Saccharomyces cerevisiae S288C: one gene and its partners. Changing the gene in region 2 together with the main gene of any one other region gives a genetic interaction. Each region holds a gene or a part of one and is shown on either strand. Other genes may lie near its edges.

The links.
Region 1: mutations in MAD1 (region 2) and CIK1 together harm fitness more than expected from each alone (negative genetic interaction), as found in Saccharomyces cerevisiae (6 studies listed by BioGRID, with this or other methods).
Region 3: mutations in MAD1 (region 2) and CTF4 together harm fitness more than expected from each alone (negative genetic interaction), as found in Saccharomyces cerevisiae (6 studies listed by BioGRID, with this or other methods).

Annotation. Positions count from the first base shown.
Region 1 is NC_001145.3:657,814-662,826, reverse strand, and holds CIK1 (Cik1p), read right to left. Parts: upstream 3,083-5,013; coding exon 1,298-3,082; downstream 1-1,297. Other genes in the region: cyclin CLN1, read right to left, coding at 1-183; v-SNARE protein VTI1, read left to right, coding at 3,629-4,282; YMR196W (uncharacterized protein), read right to left, coding at 4,485-5,013. UniProt on the Saccharomyces cerevisiae protein: Together with the minus end-directed microtubule motor KAR3, involved in spindle midzone assembly, karyogamy (nuclear fusion) during mating, and with an essential function in meiosis I.
Region 2 is NC_001139.9:344,438-350,448, reverse strand, and holds MAD1 (coiled-coil domain-containing protein MAD1), read right to left. Parts: upstream 3,331-6,011; coding exon 1,081-3,330; downstream 1-1,080. Other genes in the region: LCL3 (Lcl3p), read right to left, coding at 9-833; E2 ubiquitin-conjugating protein MMS2, read left to right, coding at 3,545-3,555, 3,641-4,043; YGL088W (uncharacterized protein), read right to left, coding at 4,248-4,613; MF(ALPHA)2 (Mf(Alpha)2p), read left to right, coding at 5,296-5,658; LIF1 (Lif1p), read right to left, coding at 5,865-6,011. UniProt on the Saccharomyces cerevisiae protein: Central component of the spindle assembly checkpoint. Thought to recruit MAD2 to unattached kinetochores. During checkpoint activity, MAD2 is relayed from the MAD1-MAD2 complex to the mitotic checkpoint complex (MCC).
Region 3 is NC_001148.4:797,727-803,314, reverse strand, and holds CTF4 (chromatin-binding protein CTF4), read right to left. Parts: upstream 4,082-5,588; coding exon 1,298-4,081; downstream 1-1,297. Other genes in the region: ribosomal RNA-processing protein RRP9, read right to left, coding at 1-956; MSS18 (Mss18p), read right to left, coding at 4,458-5,264. UniProt on the Saccharomyces cerevisiae protein: Accessory factor for DNA replication. It plays a role in accurately duplicating the genome in vivo.

The DNA of each region.
Region 1 (5,013 bases), on a different chromosome or scaffold from region 2:
ATCGATCAATTTTATGTCTGGTTTTGTCTTGGAAGATTGGACCAGCACATTTTGAGAGATTTCCTCGTGATATTCCTGTATGGTTTCGTAATGAGTTAGTAGTTCTGCATTGGACAATTCAATTGGGTAATATGTCTGCTTTGCAGTGACAATTAACCCAGTTTTCACTTCTGAGTGGTTCATGATCTTTTTATTTATTTTACAGAAATAGCTAACGAGCAGTGGAGTGGTGGTAGTGCTATTTTATTTAATTGCTATTATTGTTATCGTCGTTAAAATGTATTGTCAGCAAAATTACACTAATTTCTTCTATCCTGGGGAGATGGGATGAATAAATTGACAATAACCAGGAAATAAATTAAAGCGAACGAAGAACTCCTTGGCCAATTTGCTCTTAAGTGTGCATTCAACTAAGAAACTATTGAAGATAAGCATTACCAATTCCAAAATATATTCTTATATAAAAAGAGATACTAAGAAAATATCGAGAGATTAATTGCTGCACTCGCACCGGTACCACTTGGCGCAGGAAAACTGCGGTTTCCACAGGGGACCCACGCTGCCTTTACTCCATTCTCAATCTTGCCTTCTGCAGTATCTTTTTTTTTAATTTTCGAGTCTTCGTCACTTTCGAGTTAGTCTCCCTCCCAGCCTCGACCTGGCACCATTCAGCTCAATCCAGCAAAATCGCCAAAAATGCGTCTCCGATGCTTTCAAGGTTGGAAACTAACTAACGCGGTGCGAGATTCCCTCGAAGAAGTAAAATCGCGAATTCTTCCTTGAACGCGTCTCTTGCAGGCTGAACAAAGAAGTCGCTAGTGGATCGTCACAGAATGAACACGCCCACGAGCGGGATCTGGCTCGAGTTGTCATGAATACTGAAAGTATCAGGCGCGGGGTTGTAGTAGGTAAAGAATTTCTCCAAGAGGTTGTAGGAATGGACTTGTTTACCCCTTTACGCGCGGTGTTTTCGTGGCTTTACCGCATTGGGGTATGTCCCAGAAGAGAGTGTGCGCTATTCGATTTCCTATCAGTGAAGTGTTGCGAACAAGGGAATGCTGTCGAATTAGGAAAACAAAAGTTTATTCATGCAAATTTTGTGGCACGCTACCCTAAGTTCTCGATGATGTTTGGCTGCGTTTAAGTGAGTAATTTACATCCGCCTGTTAGTCCCGTAACATTCTCTTTTATTTTGCTAGGATAATTAGGTTGATGCCACGCACGACAATGTAGCTACGTAAGTTTTTTATGTAAGGGAACGAGACGAAGTGATTGTAGCGCACAAGATCTGGCCTTCTTAATCTAGCTGAGGTAATGTTATTGTTCTTTTCAGCTTTCCCGCTAAGGCTAGAGCCTTCTCGATGTTTTCACCAGCGTTAATCTTGAAGACAAAGCACTGCTTTGTTTTAGTGAGAATATGCGAAAGGACTGAGGGAGCATCATCAAGCTCTCTATTCAGCTGTACCGTGGACATACTACCGATATATATATTCATTGAATGGGACTCTTCATCTTTTCCCAACTTGGTATCTAAAGTTAAAATGTTCATGCATTCTTCATCTTGTGACAGATCTCTAATTTCTGTTGGGTTATCTAATCCAACGTCACTGTGTTTAATACTTCCGTCAAGATGCAAAATGTTCAATGTCATCTTATAATTCTCACCGTACTGCTCAATTAACTGTTTTAGCAAAGTCTTTTTCATTGGTGCTGTGGGTTGCTGCGAAACCACTATAATGCTGCAGTTAATTAACTTGCTGATGTATTTTTCCAGGAACGGAATGCATTCGTTATATAAGCGTTTGTGATCCTTATGGATTTCTTCGAGAACTACTCTATCAAATACTTGTACCCGTTTTTCTCCACTATTCTCGCAAATGCACCGATCCACATAGTTGATATGGAATTCATCAGGCATTTGTCGTTCATTGGCATACGCAAAGCATCGGGTGTATCCTTTGATTTCTTCAATTGAAGTGGCCAGATTTTGTCGTGTGTATAATTCCTGTTGAACCTTTTCTAGTTCATTAACGTACTTCTTCTTCCAATTGTTTGCTTCTCCTTCGACTTGCTTCTTCTCCTCCTGCACTTGCGTCAATGCTTGTGATGTAGAAGCAAGCTTCTTTTTGAGAGGAACAACGGCAAGTTCCATGCTATGGAAGTTCACTTCTGCCTCTCCAATCCTTTTTTCAAAATCGTTAAACTCATCTCTACACGTCTTAATATTTTCTTTCAGTTCACCATGGGTGTCTTGTAGGTCTTTTAAAACTTTCGAAAGTCTTTCTTGCTCCCCATCTAATTCAATTCTAGCATCGTTCTTAACTTTCTTGAATATCTCGAATTTCTTGTCCAATTCTTTTTTGTAGTTTTTACACTCGTTCTCATTTTCATTCTGTAGAATGAATAGTTTCCTATTGACCTCCTCGAATTCTGTTTTAAGCTGTCGCATTTCGTCAGTTAACCTTTCGTCAGGTTTCAAATTTTCTACTTCCATTAATTTATACGTCCACTCCCTTTTGGCATTCGATAGCTCTTCCTCTAAATCGTTTTCGAACTCTTGTACTTTTACTGCATGCATAGACACTATATTTTTTGATGATAGCTCAACATTCTTTCTTTGAAGATCACATTGATTATCCTTCAAGTCCATCTCCGTTGATAGTCCATCAATCTCATTTTGTAGCTCCCTGCACGCTTTGACTTTTGCATCTAATTCTAATGTTATTGCAGGTAGTTCCCTGGCATGAATACGAACAGATTCCTTTTCAATTTCAGAAATAGCATTCAGTAGTGAATCTATGTCTTTTCTAACCTTACGTTCATTGTTCTTAACCCTTTCAATAATCTTGGGGTCCCCCCCAAAGGTTAGTTTCTTAGTATACGTAGCGGAGGTGTCATCAGTGTAGCAGCGCCGTATACCAGATCCAGAGCTGTGCAATATATTTAGCTTGTTGTTATTAGGAGTTAGTATCATATCCATTTCTCTTTTCTGAACCTTCTGTCGTTTTGTCTTTGGAAAGTCTCGAGTGACGTTGTTTGGATCACTATGAAAGGAAAGTTTAGGAATTTTGGAGTTATTCATCCTAATAATAAAGCTTATGTCAACGAGTTTCAAATGCCAAAACAAATATTAAAATAGTGAATAGCTCTTATATATACACGGTCCAACCCTATGGCACAAAATTCACTTATTTAGGCGCTTAATTATAATGTCGTAGTTGTGTTTCAAAGTTGCTTCAGCCAAACGGAAAAGCCGCCTAAATGTGTCGATCAGTGAATGAGCTCAATAACGTGTGGATATCAAAAAATAATACAGTAAAGCCTTATTCTCGGACGATATGCTCAATGGTCAACGACTGACTAGTTTTATTTTGATACGAGCTACGACAGTGGTATCTTTCATATACTAGAATCATATTAGAGAGTAAATAAGAACAAAAATGGTAAACAAACAAATATCACTATGGACGATATTACTGATCACATGACTGTCTAATTTTCAATGAAAGTTAGGAGTGGAGTAGTCGTGCTATATAGGGCAATTACTATTCTTGGAAAAGTGTAAAGCTTTACATTAAGTTGTATAAAACGAATCAACCGCACTCTTTACATTGCTGCATGGCTTACTATGAGTTCCCTATTAATATCATACGAATCTGACTTCAAAACAACCTTAGAACAAGCCAAAGCGAGCTTAGCAGAGGCCCCCTCACAACCGTTATCACAGAGAAATACTACACTGAAGCACGTAGAACAGCAACAAGATGAGTTGTTTGACCTGCTAGATCAGATGGATGTAGAAGTTAATAACAGCATAGGCGATGCCTCAGAACGTGCTACGTACAAGGCGAAGTTAAGAGAATGGAAGAAGACTATACAGAGCGATATCAAACGACCACTGCAATCCTTAGTAGACTCAGGCGATCGTGATAGACTTTTTGGAGATCTTAACGCATCTAATATTGACGATGACCAAAGGCAACAGTTGTTGAGCAACCATGCAATCTTACAGAAATCGGGAGATAGACTAAAAGATGCCAGTAGAATAGCAAATGAAACTGAAGGAATAGGGTCACAAATAATGATGGATTTAAGGTCACAGAGAGAAACTTTGGAAAATGCAAGACAGACCTTGTTTCAAGCGGATTCATATGTGGATAAAAGTATAAAGACACTAAAAACAATGACTAGAAGGCTAGTTGCTAATAAATTCATAAGCTATGCCATTATCGCAGTCCTTATATTATTGATTTTGCTAGTTTTGTTCTCAAAGTTTAAATAAGGTGGGAAAACAAATTCAATAAAAAACCTCTAGAATCTAAAGAACATGTCAAGGAACTATAGAGTTACCTTCACTAGTAATATCAACGCTACCTTACTGATAAAAAACTACTGCAATTAAATATTCTATAGATCAAAATATAGAGGTATATCGTTGGAAATATTTTTCAAACGTACAGATATTGAAGGTTCACCGCAGTTAATCAAGACACATCCTTATTCAACGGACTCATTGGGTCCATTGGGTCTATATCCTCATCTTTAGCCTTGTCAGTTACTTTCATATTTTTCACCTTATCTTTTAGCTTGCCTATAAGCTTGGTTTCAAAGTTGTGACGATCTTCAGGTACCACAGTTTCGTGAATACCTTCCTCTTCATTCATTTCCTCCATCAAATGTCTAGCCTTGTCACTTGAAATGCTGCTTTGTGGTGTCAACCCAGAATGGGTGCCCCCTATCCTATGATGGCGCTTTTCTTCTTCGGTTAAGTCCAAAATGGTGGCAGTGTAGTTTACCAAAGACTTTGCACTCTTACGTCTTGCCATTCTCTTCATTTTGGGACCTTGCTCAGAGCTCTCTGTTGAAGCGGTCGTTGCCACAGATGATCTTGGCGTACGAGGTAGTCTTACACAGGATATACCTACATCACTTATCCATTTGGCCACAAGAGCAGTCCAACCACATTGGTGTGAAGCGCCAAGCCCTCTTCCAGTATCACCGTCAAAGTATTCA
Region 2 (6,011 bases):
TCGAAAACTCAAATACGTTTTTTATATTCACCAGGCGTTTCAAATTTATTCTGGATCCACAGTCCCTTTTTTCTAGATCTTGCCAAAAATTCATAATATCGATACTTATCTTCTCTATCATCAAATTCTGTGTTTACTTTACCCTCATAAACAACCGCTAATCCATCCTTGAGCATTTCTAAGCTTAAGTCTTTCCACCCACCAAACCAGTCCCAGTATGACACTCGAGCTACACAACGGTTGTACTGATCTATAGATAAAGGCTTGACCCATACTTTCTTTCCCAAAATTCGGTTTTGTAACCAAATTAAAGCTTCATTACCAAACGGTTGAGCTGGGTTACCGAAATGTGCTCTTTCTGGGGCATCGATTCCACATAATCTTATAGGAATAGTTGGCAGGTTTTTCCTATTTTTGTAAGGTACATTTAGCTTCAAGAACTGGCTTTTAGCTTTTTGTATTTTACTTTTGGTGGACCTCCCATGCGTAATCCAATTGAAATTGAAAAACCTCATATTTCTGCTATCTCCAACAAGCTTTTCTGCCGTAGAATCATTCTTGATCATTTGTGGGACGGGTCGTAACCATCCCCATCCACCTCTTATACCACCTGGCATGTGAAAGAAATGAAAGTTGTCCCCGTCACCTACAGACGTGACTTTACCATAAAGCCAGTGTTTACGAAATATTCTTCGCGGTATATCATTTGTTCTTTTGAATTGAGTTAAATACCTTTTATATGTGTAGATCAATGTTAAGGTCGAACCCGTAAGGATGATGGAGAGGACAGCAACATCCGCAGATTTTTTTGAATTAGAATCACCTTCCCTCATATAAGTGCATTTATGCCCCCTTAATAGCTATGAAAAACTGGGCTTCTTTTTATATCATGTGTGACTTATTCTGTAATTTGTTTTTATTCTTCAACACAATTTTTTTTTTTTTGCATACCAAAGGAATCATAAAAGGTCAATGATGAAGAAAGATAAAAGAATTTTGTGACCAACAATTATGTCAGCGGATAGGAGTTTATCATATTATAAAACCGATTACTATTATCTATTAGAAATGTATATACACTTATTTGGCTTGTCGCTGTTCCCACAGACGCAATGTTATTGTTGCCAAAAAGCACGGAAGTTGACCTCTATCTTCCACCCATAGATTCATGAGATCATCCCATCCTTCTATATCTGCATCAAGGTTAGATTTCAAAGTGTTTTCATTTAGATCAGCAATCAAATATTTTTCAGGTTTGAAACAGGAAAATATTTTCACACGACTATCTTGTTGAAATTCCAATTTAAAACCTAATAATGAGTTTACAACGTCAATAAACTCCAAAGATTTATTATTGAAAACTTGCTTTAGTCTGGAAAATCTTTTATTTGACTTAAAAACTTCCTGTTCGAACTGTTTCAACTCGAAATTTAGTGAATCATAAACAGAAATGGGTACTGTTTCCACTGCTGGATTATTCTTTTTCAATTCGTTAAGTAAATCTGCATTTTCCTTTTCTAGAAGAAGTAATTTGTTTTTCTTGATAAATTGATCTTTTATGAAGGGGCCGTCACGTAATTGCAGTATACGTATTTTTTTCTCCTTTAGTTTAGTTAACTTTTCTAATTTTTCTTGTAGTAGCTGAATTGTAGTTTGTGCTTTACTCAACTCCCTCGAGACACTTACATTTTCCAGTTGCAATTCGTTGAGCCTCTGTGAATAATTTAAACCAATTTGGTCACTTGTCAACTTCCTCTTTTTTCTTTGTGTTTCTACATCATTGGAATTTGATAATAACTGATCGTTTAGCTTCTTTAGTTCGTTTGTTAAATCTTCTGTCTTATTTTTATAAGTATCGATCAAATTATTCATATCTTCGTTTACGTTCTTGTTTGACGCATGTGTTTCACTATTTTCGACCTCTAGTAAAGCATTATTTTGTGCGGAATATAGGCCATCTAATTGTTCGCGCAGTAATCGACATTCTTCGAAAGATAAACTCTTCTGTTGTTCTAACTCGTGATTTAATCTTTTCAAATTTACTATGTTGTTTTCATAATTCTTGTTCAAATCTAGTATTTGGTTTCTCTCTAAAGCCATTTCATCATTCAGTAGCTTTAAATTGTTATTGTCCAATCTTAACTTATCATTCATATCTGTCAAAATTAAACATTCCTTTTTGGTAAGTTTCCAGTCCCGGATAATCTCTTCAGGGTTATTTCTTATGTTATTTTTGGTTCTGTTGTTATTATTAATATTGTTGTTATTACTTGTATCATTATTATTATCATTATTATTATCATTTTTATTATTATTATTATTATCATTGTTGTTAACATTGTTATCATCATCATCGTCACTATCATTATAAATTTCCCATTTGGTTAATTTCGATTTTAGATCTATGTTTTCCAATTGAAGATTTTCATATTGACTTTCGAGTACGTGTAATTGACTTAATTTGTTTTGTAGTTTTTCATTTTCTAATTTCCAAAAAGTAGAAGTGTCCTGGGATTGTTTAAGTTTTTTCAATTCATTGGCTTGTTGCATGTTCGCTAGTTCCAATTCTTTAGTATACTGAACTTGGTCTTGGATCATTTTGTTCATTTCAGTGAGCTCGTTGAACTCTTCGGTGGAGTAGTTTGGATGTGAGTTTATCATCTTAGATGCTTTTACCGAAGATAATTCATCATCCTTTTCCATCACTTGATGCTGCAAATCTTTGATATCCACACTTTGCCTCTTTATTTCTTTCTCATATTTCATCAGTAGCGAATGAGAGCTCTCTGCTTCCAACTTGAAATGGTCACATTGGTTAGTGACCTTTGATAACTTCGAATCATACTGCTGCCTTAAAGTCTCCATTTCTAAATCTTTGTTTTGGAGGGTTGTTCGCAATTCCTCTATGCATTTGTCTTTATCATTCATCGAATTAGCTGATCTTTCTTTCAAACTCTTTAACTCTTGCTCCAATTTATCATTGCTTTCATAAAGATATTTTGTATCATTCAATGCTTTCTCTAATTCGTCAATCGTGGCCTTATATTTCTTTTCTAAGATATTCGTCTGTTTTTGTAGCTGCAATTTTTCAATCTCATACTCATTTTGTAGAGTATTGAGCTTGAATTGTAACGCCTGAATCTGACGATTACTTTGTCCATTTGTACTGCCTACGTCGGGCGAACCTCCAGGGCTTTCCAAGAAAGGAGAGGACCCACCACTATTGCTCATTTTGTACTGGATAGAATAGATCTCTAGTCCCAATTTTTTTCCAGTGAATCGTCCACTCAATGCACTGAAGAAACATTGCAATGCCGCTCTCACATCCATTATTTACTATTACCTCTCGATTTTAAGATGGAAAAAATTGTTAGGAATTATTCCTAGGGTAACACGCTATCAATTTTCATTGCTCCTTTAGCGATAAATAAGAGACTAAAATAAGATCAACTTCCTACACAATCTCTGCTCATTACATTTCGATGTCGTGGTGAAATTCTTATTCTGTATATGCAACGTAGAAGAAAGCAGCGTTTACACAAAAATGTCAAAAGTGTATGTTATTATAAGTTTTGAAAGGGATTTCAACATATACTAACAAATTCTTGAAATGTACCCTCACTGTCCTATTGTAAATCAGACCAAGAAATTTTAGGTTGTTAGAAGAATTAGAAAAGGGTGAAAAAGGGTTTGGTCCAGAATCATGTAGTTATGGTTTAGCTGATAGCGACGATATTACCATGACCAAATGGAACGGCACTATTTTAGGGCCCCCTCATAGTAATCATGAAAACAGAATCTATTCCCTTTCTATAGATTGTGGCCCAAACTATCCAGATTCTCCCCCAAAGGTCACTTTCATTTCCAAGATAAATCTACCATGCGTCAATCCAACTACGGGGGAGGTCCAAACTGACTTCCACACCTTACGTGACTGGAAAAGAGCCTACACCATGGAAACTTTATTACTTGATCTTAGAAAGGAAATGGCAACCCCAGCGAACAAGAAATTGCGTCAACCGAAGGAAGGAGAAACCTTTTAGTTATCTACTTTTTCCTAAACAGTATTTGCAGCATTCCAAGCCACTCATATATACAAGCAATAAGACATAGATATCCTCTTATTTAGGTAGTAAGTTTAATTACTTTCATAATATGAATTTACTCACCCCATGCCGAGAAGTTACTCGTGCAATTCACTACGATAATGATGTATATAGTTGTATTATCAATCCTTGCAACGGTCCTCATCCGGGCACACGAAGGTAAACCCTTAGATCTGCTAAAAAACAGACGACAGAAAGACTGTTGCACCCAAGATCGATAAATTTGTTCTCCAGTCCAAGCCAATAATAAATATATTGCAACACCAATCCACATTCTTCATGGGTCAAGAACGCCCCGGAGGGGTTCAACCTCGACGAGATACTGTACGTGTTACGAATGGCTGTTAAATTTGCGTTACTGTTATAAAATAACACTAAAATAAGAAATGGAAAGTAAATAAATAGTAAAGGAAAGTCAAATAAAGCAATGAATGCTGCATTGATCTGCCTTTTATAGCTAAGAAAAAAAAAGAGAAAAAAATAATAAGTGCGGGTAACCTCATGCATTGTAAAACGGTAGGGCTACAAGGCACTACTTACTCTACGCTATAGAAGAAGCTTCAAGACATGGTGTTGTTCTTATTTGAGCGAACTCAGCTGTCACCGTTTCGGGAAACTCTATAGTTTTCTGCGTTTCAGTACGCAGTTGGGCGTGCTAAAGTTGTTTTCCTAATTTGCTAGTGTTCACTTGCTCATTGATGTCCCTAAAAGGTAATGTCGCATAGTAAGATGTATGTCCCATATCAAACGCATTCCTAGAAAAACATGCACTGAATGAATAAGCAGTTACTTCGATTACTAATCTTCACAGCATAATTTTTCTCTTATCTTGTAAACCTCTTTCTATCTTTTCATAAAGTTTGTCACTTATATTTCTTCATTGGTACATCAATGCCAGCAACGATGTGCGCATCTGGGCGACGCCTGTAGTGATTGTTTTCAAGGTATCGAGCCAAACTATTCATCGTTACTGTTTCAAATATTCAGTTGTTTCAGTACAGAGTCGCCGTGGACCTAGTGAAACTTGGTGTCTTTACAGCGCAGAGACGAGGGCTTATATGTATAAAAGCTGTCCTTGATTCTGGTGTAGTTTGAGGTGTCCTTCCTATATCTGTTTTTATATTCTATATAATGGATAATTACTACCATCACCTGCATCAAATTCCAGTAAATTCACATATTGGAGAAAATGAAATTCATTTCTACCTTTCTCACTTTTATTTTAGCGGCCGTTTCTGTCACTGCTAGTTCCGATGAAGATATCGCTCAGGTGCCAGCCGAGGCCATTATTGGATACTTGGATTTCGGAGGTGATCATGACATAGCTTTTTTACCATTCAGTAACGCTACCGCCAGTGGGCTATTGTTTATCAACACCACTATTGCTGAGGCGGCTGAAAAAGAGCAAAACACCACTTTGGCGAAAAGAGAGGCTGTTGCCGACGCTTGGCACTGGTTAAATTTGAGACCAGGCCAACCAATGTACAAGAGAGAGGCCAACGCTGATGCTTGGCACTGGTTGCAACTCAAGCCAGGCCAACCAATGTACTGAAAAATGACCCTAAACTACTTCTAAACCCTCTCGATTTCTTTCACGTTCATACAACACCTAGTTTTATTTATTTTCTTTTCAATCTGAGTAGTTGAGTTTTCGATCACTCACATAGAACTATTTTTTGCCATTTAAATAAAGTATTCTCTCAAATGATGCGATACTATAATACTCTTTGCCATATATTACATTCATTCATAAATAGGCTATGTTTCTATATCCGTTTCCGATTCTGTCTGCAAGCAAGGTTCCCTATCATTACCGGATTGTTCACTATGGTTGGAGCTCTTCTTTTCCCCTGCACTTGCATCAGTCTCAGATTCAGAACCAGAAATGTCTCCGTAATCTTCATC
Region 3 (5,588 bases), on a different chromosome or scaffold from region 2:
TAAAGAATCTCCAACTGGGAAAATTGATTTATTGAATATGTTCTTATCTTAAAATCTGCGCAGGATGCATATAACTGATCAGAATTTTTTCTAAAAGCCAACGATAAAACTTCCCCTCGGCGATCCTTTGTTGGAATAACTTTAACGGGTGATAGAGATTCTGTGCTCCATACAATTAACTTCCTATCTCTTCCACCTGTGACAACATATTTACCATCTGGTGAGGCTGCTACAGTTAAGATTTCGTCATAATGGCCTTCTGTGGTATTCTCATATTCGTGCTTGCTCGTAGGTATATATTTTGCTCCTCCTTTAGCGTATTTTAGCTTCTTTGGTCTTTTGCTAAAGTCAGTAATGTCATATTTGGTGAGTTGTAAGTCTTTGCTAACTGTATAGGCAAATAACCTACCTTTGTTCTTATCGCCATTAGATGATTCCTCGAAGGTGTATTTGTTTAAAACGGGTTGGAAACAACTAATGCAAGTAAGGTTATTTTCCCCTACCCTGGTAAAGCTCTGTTTTGCTTCAGATATTAGAAGTTTATCGCCAAAATATCTGAAGACTCGGCCTTGCTGTTCAGCAACGTCTTCTTTTAACCTGGACGCAATGATATCCTTATCCAAATCTCCAGCATCAAAATTGTTGTACTCGTCGATTGTTCTTTCCTTGAGATTGTTTAAATCTTTTTCTTCAGCGTTCCTATTATCAGTTAAAATGTCATTAGCTTCGCTTTTCAGATTCTCCAGATATTGCTTTGCAAGCCTCCTTCTTTTATCGGCTGGATTTTCACCCTCGAATTCTTCTTCAGATTCCAATGCGTCTTCTTCATCCGAAACTTCTAGTTGTTCATCTTCGTTTGAGGATGGATCTGTGATTTCTTCGTCTACTGTGGGTTTTGATGGATTAACTTCTCCTTTGGATCTTTTCCTCTTTTTCTGTTGGGTAACATCTGACATCTTTTCTAGATTTTCTATAATTTTGAAATGCTAAAGAAGAAATAAAGAACTTTGAATTGATGCTTATTTGAATATTTACGGTACAGGACCAGGTGTTACACTGTTTAATCAAAGCTCATCTATAAAATGTCATCTCTTTTTTTTTTTTTCATATTTTTTCACTTTTTCCTTTCGCGAAAATTCGCAAGGACGCTTCCAGCTCAGATCATGTTCAACGTAACTCTTTATTATCGTCGCATTCAAAGAAATATATGTTAATGTGGGAGCATTTTGAACGATGATTTGAACAAATGAACAGGTATCAAATAATTGTCTCTTGCGTATATATATTTTACATTTTTTTATTTCAATTGCTGTTCATATCTAGCTTCCCTTATATTATTAATTTTTTTAACGAGAGAGGGCAGCTCAGCTCTTTCTGATATCTTAACGGCTGCAGTAAGTGCTCTATCTTGTTTTAATTCATGAGCAAGCGAAAGAGCCTTTTCAACATTTTGGTCTGAGCATGCAGACGCAAATAAACGTAACAAAGCCTTATCATATGCACCGTTCAATGCTGCCAATACCTCATTTTCGTTGCCGTACATTTCACCGTCATTTTCGAGTGTATCTGTCAACAGCTCTGACAAAACCTTGCTGCGCAGATACTCTTCTTCCGCCGCCATAGAAACAGGAATCTGTATTTCTTTGTCTTCTTCCCCTTCTTCCGCTTCGGTGTCAGCTCCAATTTCGTTCTTTTTATTTAATATAGCTTTGTTTTCCTCTAGTAATTTACTCTTAACAAATACTGGCATTCTAATCTCCATTTCGGATGGCAACGGAAGGGGAAACTCGGGCCATATATGCTTGCCCTTAACTAAGATACAATTCAATGTGTCATACGCCAAAGCCAAGGGCCAGACATGTATATCTGTCGTTTCCTTCCCTCCTGACATCTTCCATATTTCCATGTTGCTATCTAGAATAGGGAGCCATTTACTTTCTTCTGGTGATCTCCACTTTGATAACAATAGAAGCGTGTTGTCGGACCCAAAAATGCATGGATCTCCGTAGCTTGAAAAGAACAAACTTTTGATGCCCATCGGATTAAAATTGTAGTAGTCAAGATTTGCGTCTTTTTTCATATCAGAATTAATGTTTGGTAAACTCATTGGAAGTGGACACTCTCTTTTATAGTACCTTTTACTAGAAGTACCCAATTCAGATAAAGAGTATGAAAGGCCATGAAACTGCGAATAATGTACTGAAAAAACCCTATAATTCTGAGCAGTAAGCGCTACAATTGGGGATGTCTTTTCAACAGCAAATGGAACCCCGAATTGATTGAAACTTCTGAAATAGCCTAATGATGTACCAACAATAACGCGAACCGGGGTGGCTGCCACACTTGTTATTCTCTCACCAGCTTGCAAAGGAATAATCTTGGTCCAGTTTGAATGTATGCTATCGTGTGGCCTATATTGTATCTGCCCAGTTTTGGATTGGCCAAATAAAGTGCCTTTTTCATTTAGGAAGCATAAATCGTAGCCAAATAAGTCCTCGAAATGGTATTCTCTAAAACGTCCAACATCAAAAAAAGAGACAGTTATGCTGTATTGCTCACTATTCTTGACAGTAGATACGTAGCCCACTTCATTCATTGTCAAATAACGCCTGTCAGTAAAGCCAAAAGGTGTTCCCGCTGGAGAAAAAGGCATATAACGAAATTTTCCTGTGTTTGCCAAACTGATTGGAAACGAATGAGTCTTGTGTACTCTCGAATAAGAATGTTCATTATGTGGTTTTTTGCCACTAATATAACCAGCACCATCGTCATCATCAATAAAGTCTTCTTCATCTTCGAAGTTGTATTTTCTCTTTTCACTTAATCCACTGGGGCCGTCGTGTGTTTGAGTGAACACATCTTCCGCATTCGCTTCTTGAGTAATATCTGAAAATAGCTTATCGCTTTTGTTTATATCATCATTTCCCTCTAAGTTTTCCAAGTCAGATTCGGAGTCTACAAAAAGCCCATGTTTAGTTGAAGATTCAGCAACAGATTGGTCAGGTATATTAGATACTACGGACTCTGCCAAATTTTGGACAATGGCTATACTACCGGACCAGGTACCTAAAACAAGGTCTAGAGTTTTTGAGTCCGCTTGGATTTTCCAGGCAATATTAGTAATTTTTCTTTTGAATTCCCTGGTGTAGTGGATCTCGGAAGTTTCCCAATTCCATACCGTTAACTTATTATTTAAATCTACTGCCGCAATGTAAGTTCCACGTAACGGGTCAAATTGCAAATCAATGAAATGAGCCTTTGTTGATGAGAGATTTGTGGACAACGTCTTTTGTAGGGAATATCCCTTTATAGAGAATATTTTTACTGTATCATCTGCACATGGTAGCGCAAAATGCAGACCCTTCGGATGCCAAGCCACTCTCGTGCAAATTCTATTAGCAGCACAGAATTCTGGATCAGCTACATTGTTCTCATCTGGATCAGCCGTTTCACTCAGGTCATTATCATTGTCTTTATCTATATCATCCATCATATTCGAGAGTATCTTATCTCTGTGTGTATCATCATATGAATTGGCCACTATGTAATCATTTAACTCATGAACTTTGTTTGGAATAGTAGATGTCAGAGAAAAAATTTGTACCTTACCATTTATCATTGAAACTGCTAAAATATTCATCTGTGAATTGTAAGAAATTTGAGAAACTTGTTCATCGATTTTAATGGCATGTTTTTTGTGTGTTTCATCGTCCAATTCCAAAAGGATTAGTTCTAAGTCGTCTCCTCCAAATACGGCCATTTTACCTGAATGAATAACACAGCAGTCACGTAGGGGTAAAGCAAATCTAGCCAATAATTCTTCTTGACTAGAATCGATGTTATACCTAAGAGCATCACCTTGCATTGTAGTCATCAGAAAGTGCGAGTTTGAATAGCATTTTATAGACGAGACCAATTTGGAAGAATCTAAAGTCTCTGGCTCTTCTTCTGGGTTATTTGTCTTCAGAATCTTGGTTAAGCCATTTTTATTGGCTACACACAAAGTATTATTATCTGGTGCGAGAGAGACCAGAGTTTTCCCACCAAAGTCAAAAACAAGCTTGTCTATAACTGAAACCATAATAGTACGTCTAGTATATTTACGTCACTTCTTGCCCTTCTCAATTATTTTTCCCAAGCTTTCTTATTAATTTAATCTATATGTTCCCATATGTTGGCGTATTCAGGAAACTTTATTACGCGTCGCGTTAAACAGTTAACAATTAATCATTAGTGGAAATTAACGAATCTTAGTGAAAACACCCATTCTCCAGGTGAGATTCTTTCAAGTATCAGGCAAACTACGATTTCACCTAATGAATATCACAAGACGTTTTGAATAATTTTCTGAAGCAATTATGAAACATTATGAAGATATATACGAATATGGATAAGCCTTGTACCTGTGATTTTACACTCAAATTGGACATAAGTAGTACATGAAGAGGATGATTAATTCATCCTTTAACGCGCTTGTTCGAAAATCCTTTGAAACCATGTAATAATATATCCAGATTTTCGGCTGACTTCTCATCAATGTTCATCATCGTCGTTTCGTCGTCTTCTAGACCATTTAACCAAAATTTCATACTCATTGGTAGAGAAGAATATGTGTGGTACAGCGACGGTTCAAAGTGAATTATATTTGGTCCGTATTGGCCGTCTTTCATCCCGACTGATGGTGTAGAATGTTCATCGACCAAAACATCATAATTCCTTCGGCACTGTTCTTCCTCTAACCTGAAAAACTCTTCACTAGATATGTCCACGCCTTCACCTTCTGTAGTGCTAACGTAACGTACCGGCCTCTCAGCAAACAAAAGGTTGCTGTCCCGTTGGAGTTGAAGGAAAGGAGAATCATGCACTTCTACTTTCCCATTCCATCTATCTAGCAGACTTGAATATTTCTGTTCCAGGTTATCATTTTTCTCTTCGTTCGTTTGGACACTAGTCATCGTGGTTAGAGTGGGTTCCTCACCCTTCGTATTCATTATGAGAGCTTTTAAATTAAATAAAACCGTAGCCAGCTTACGAATATCAGATGAAGCCAGTACCAAGTCTAATTTCGGTCTTGTTCTCTGAAATGTGCCATTATTTACTGCGAAAGTCGGCCTTGCATACTTAATATTGGAGAATGTACTCAATTCTGCAGTTATTCGGTTATTCCAATATAGTTCCTTCGGTGGGTATACTGTTTGATAGAATAATTTTAACTCCACAAGTATGCAGTTTTTTCGAAGAAAGTTAACTTCAGGTAAACCCATATGTGCACTGATTTTCTCTTTTCCTTGGTTATGCGTAATAAAGGATTATTTTGTATCGCAACCTTCAATTAAGGTTATCACATTTTAATAATAAAAGCTGGTAAAAAAAGCCGAAAAATCTGCCTGGACAAACATACAGAATACGCATATATACAAGCGAAGAAAGGAGATTTAGGCTCATTAGAGCAGTATCAATTTTTTAAAAAATATTTACACGTCTTTCTCTAAACTATATAAGGTGGGGGGCGCAAATTGACCATTATTTAATCAAAAGCAAATACAAAAAGAGAAACATATTTTAGTGTCATTCATAGATGCAATCTT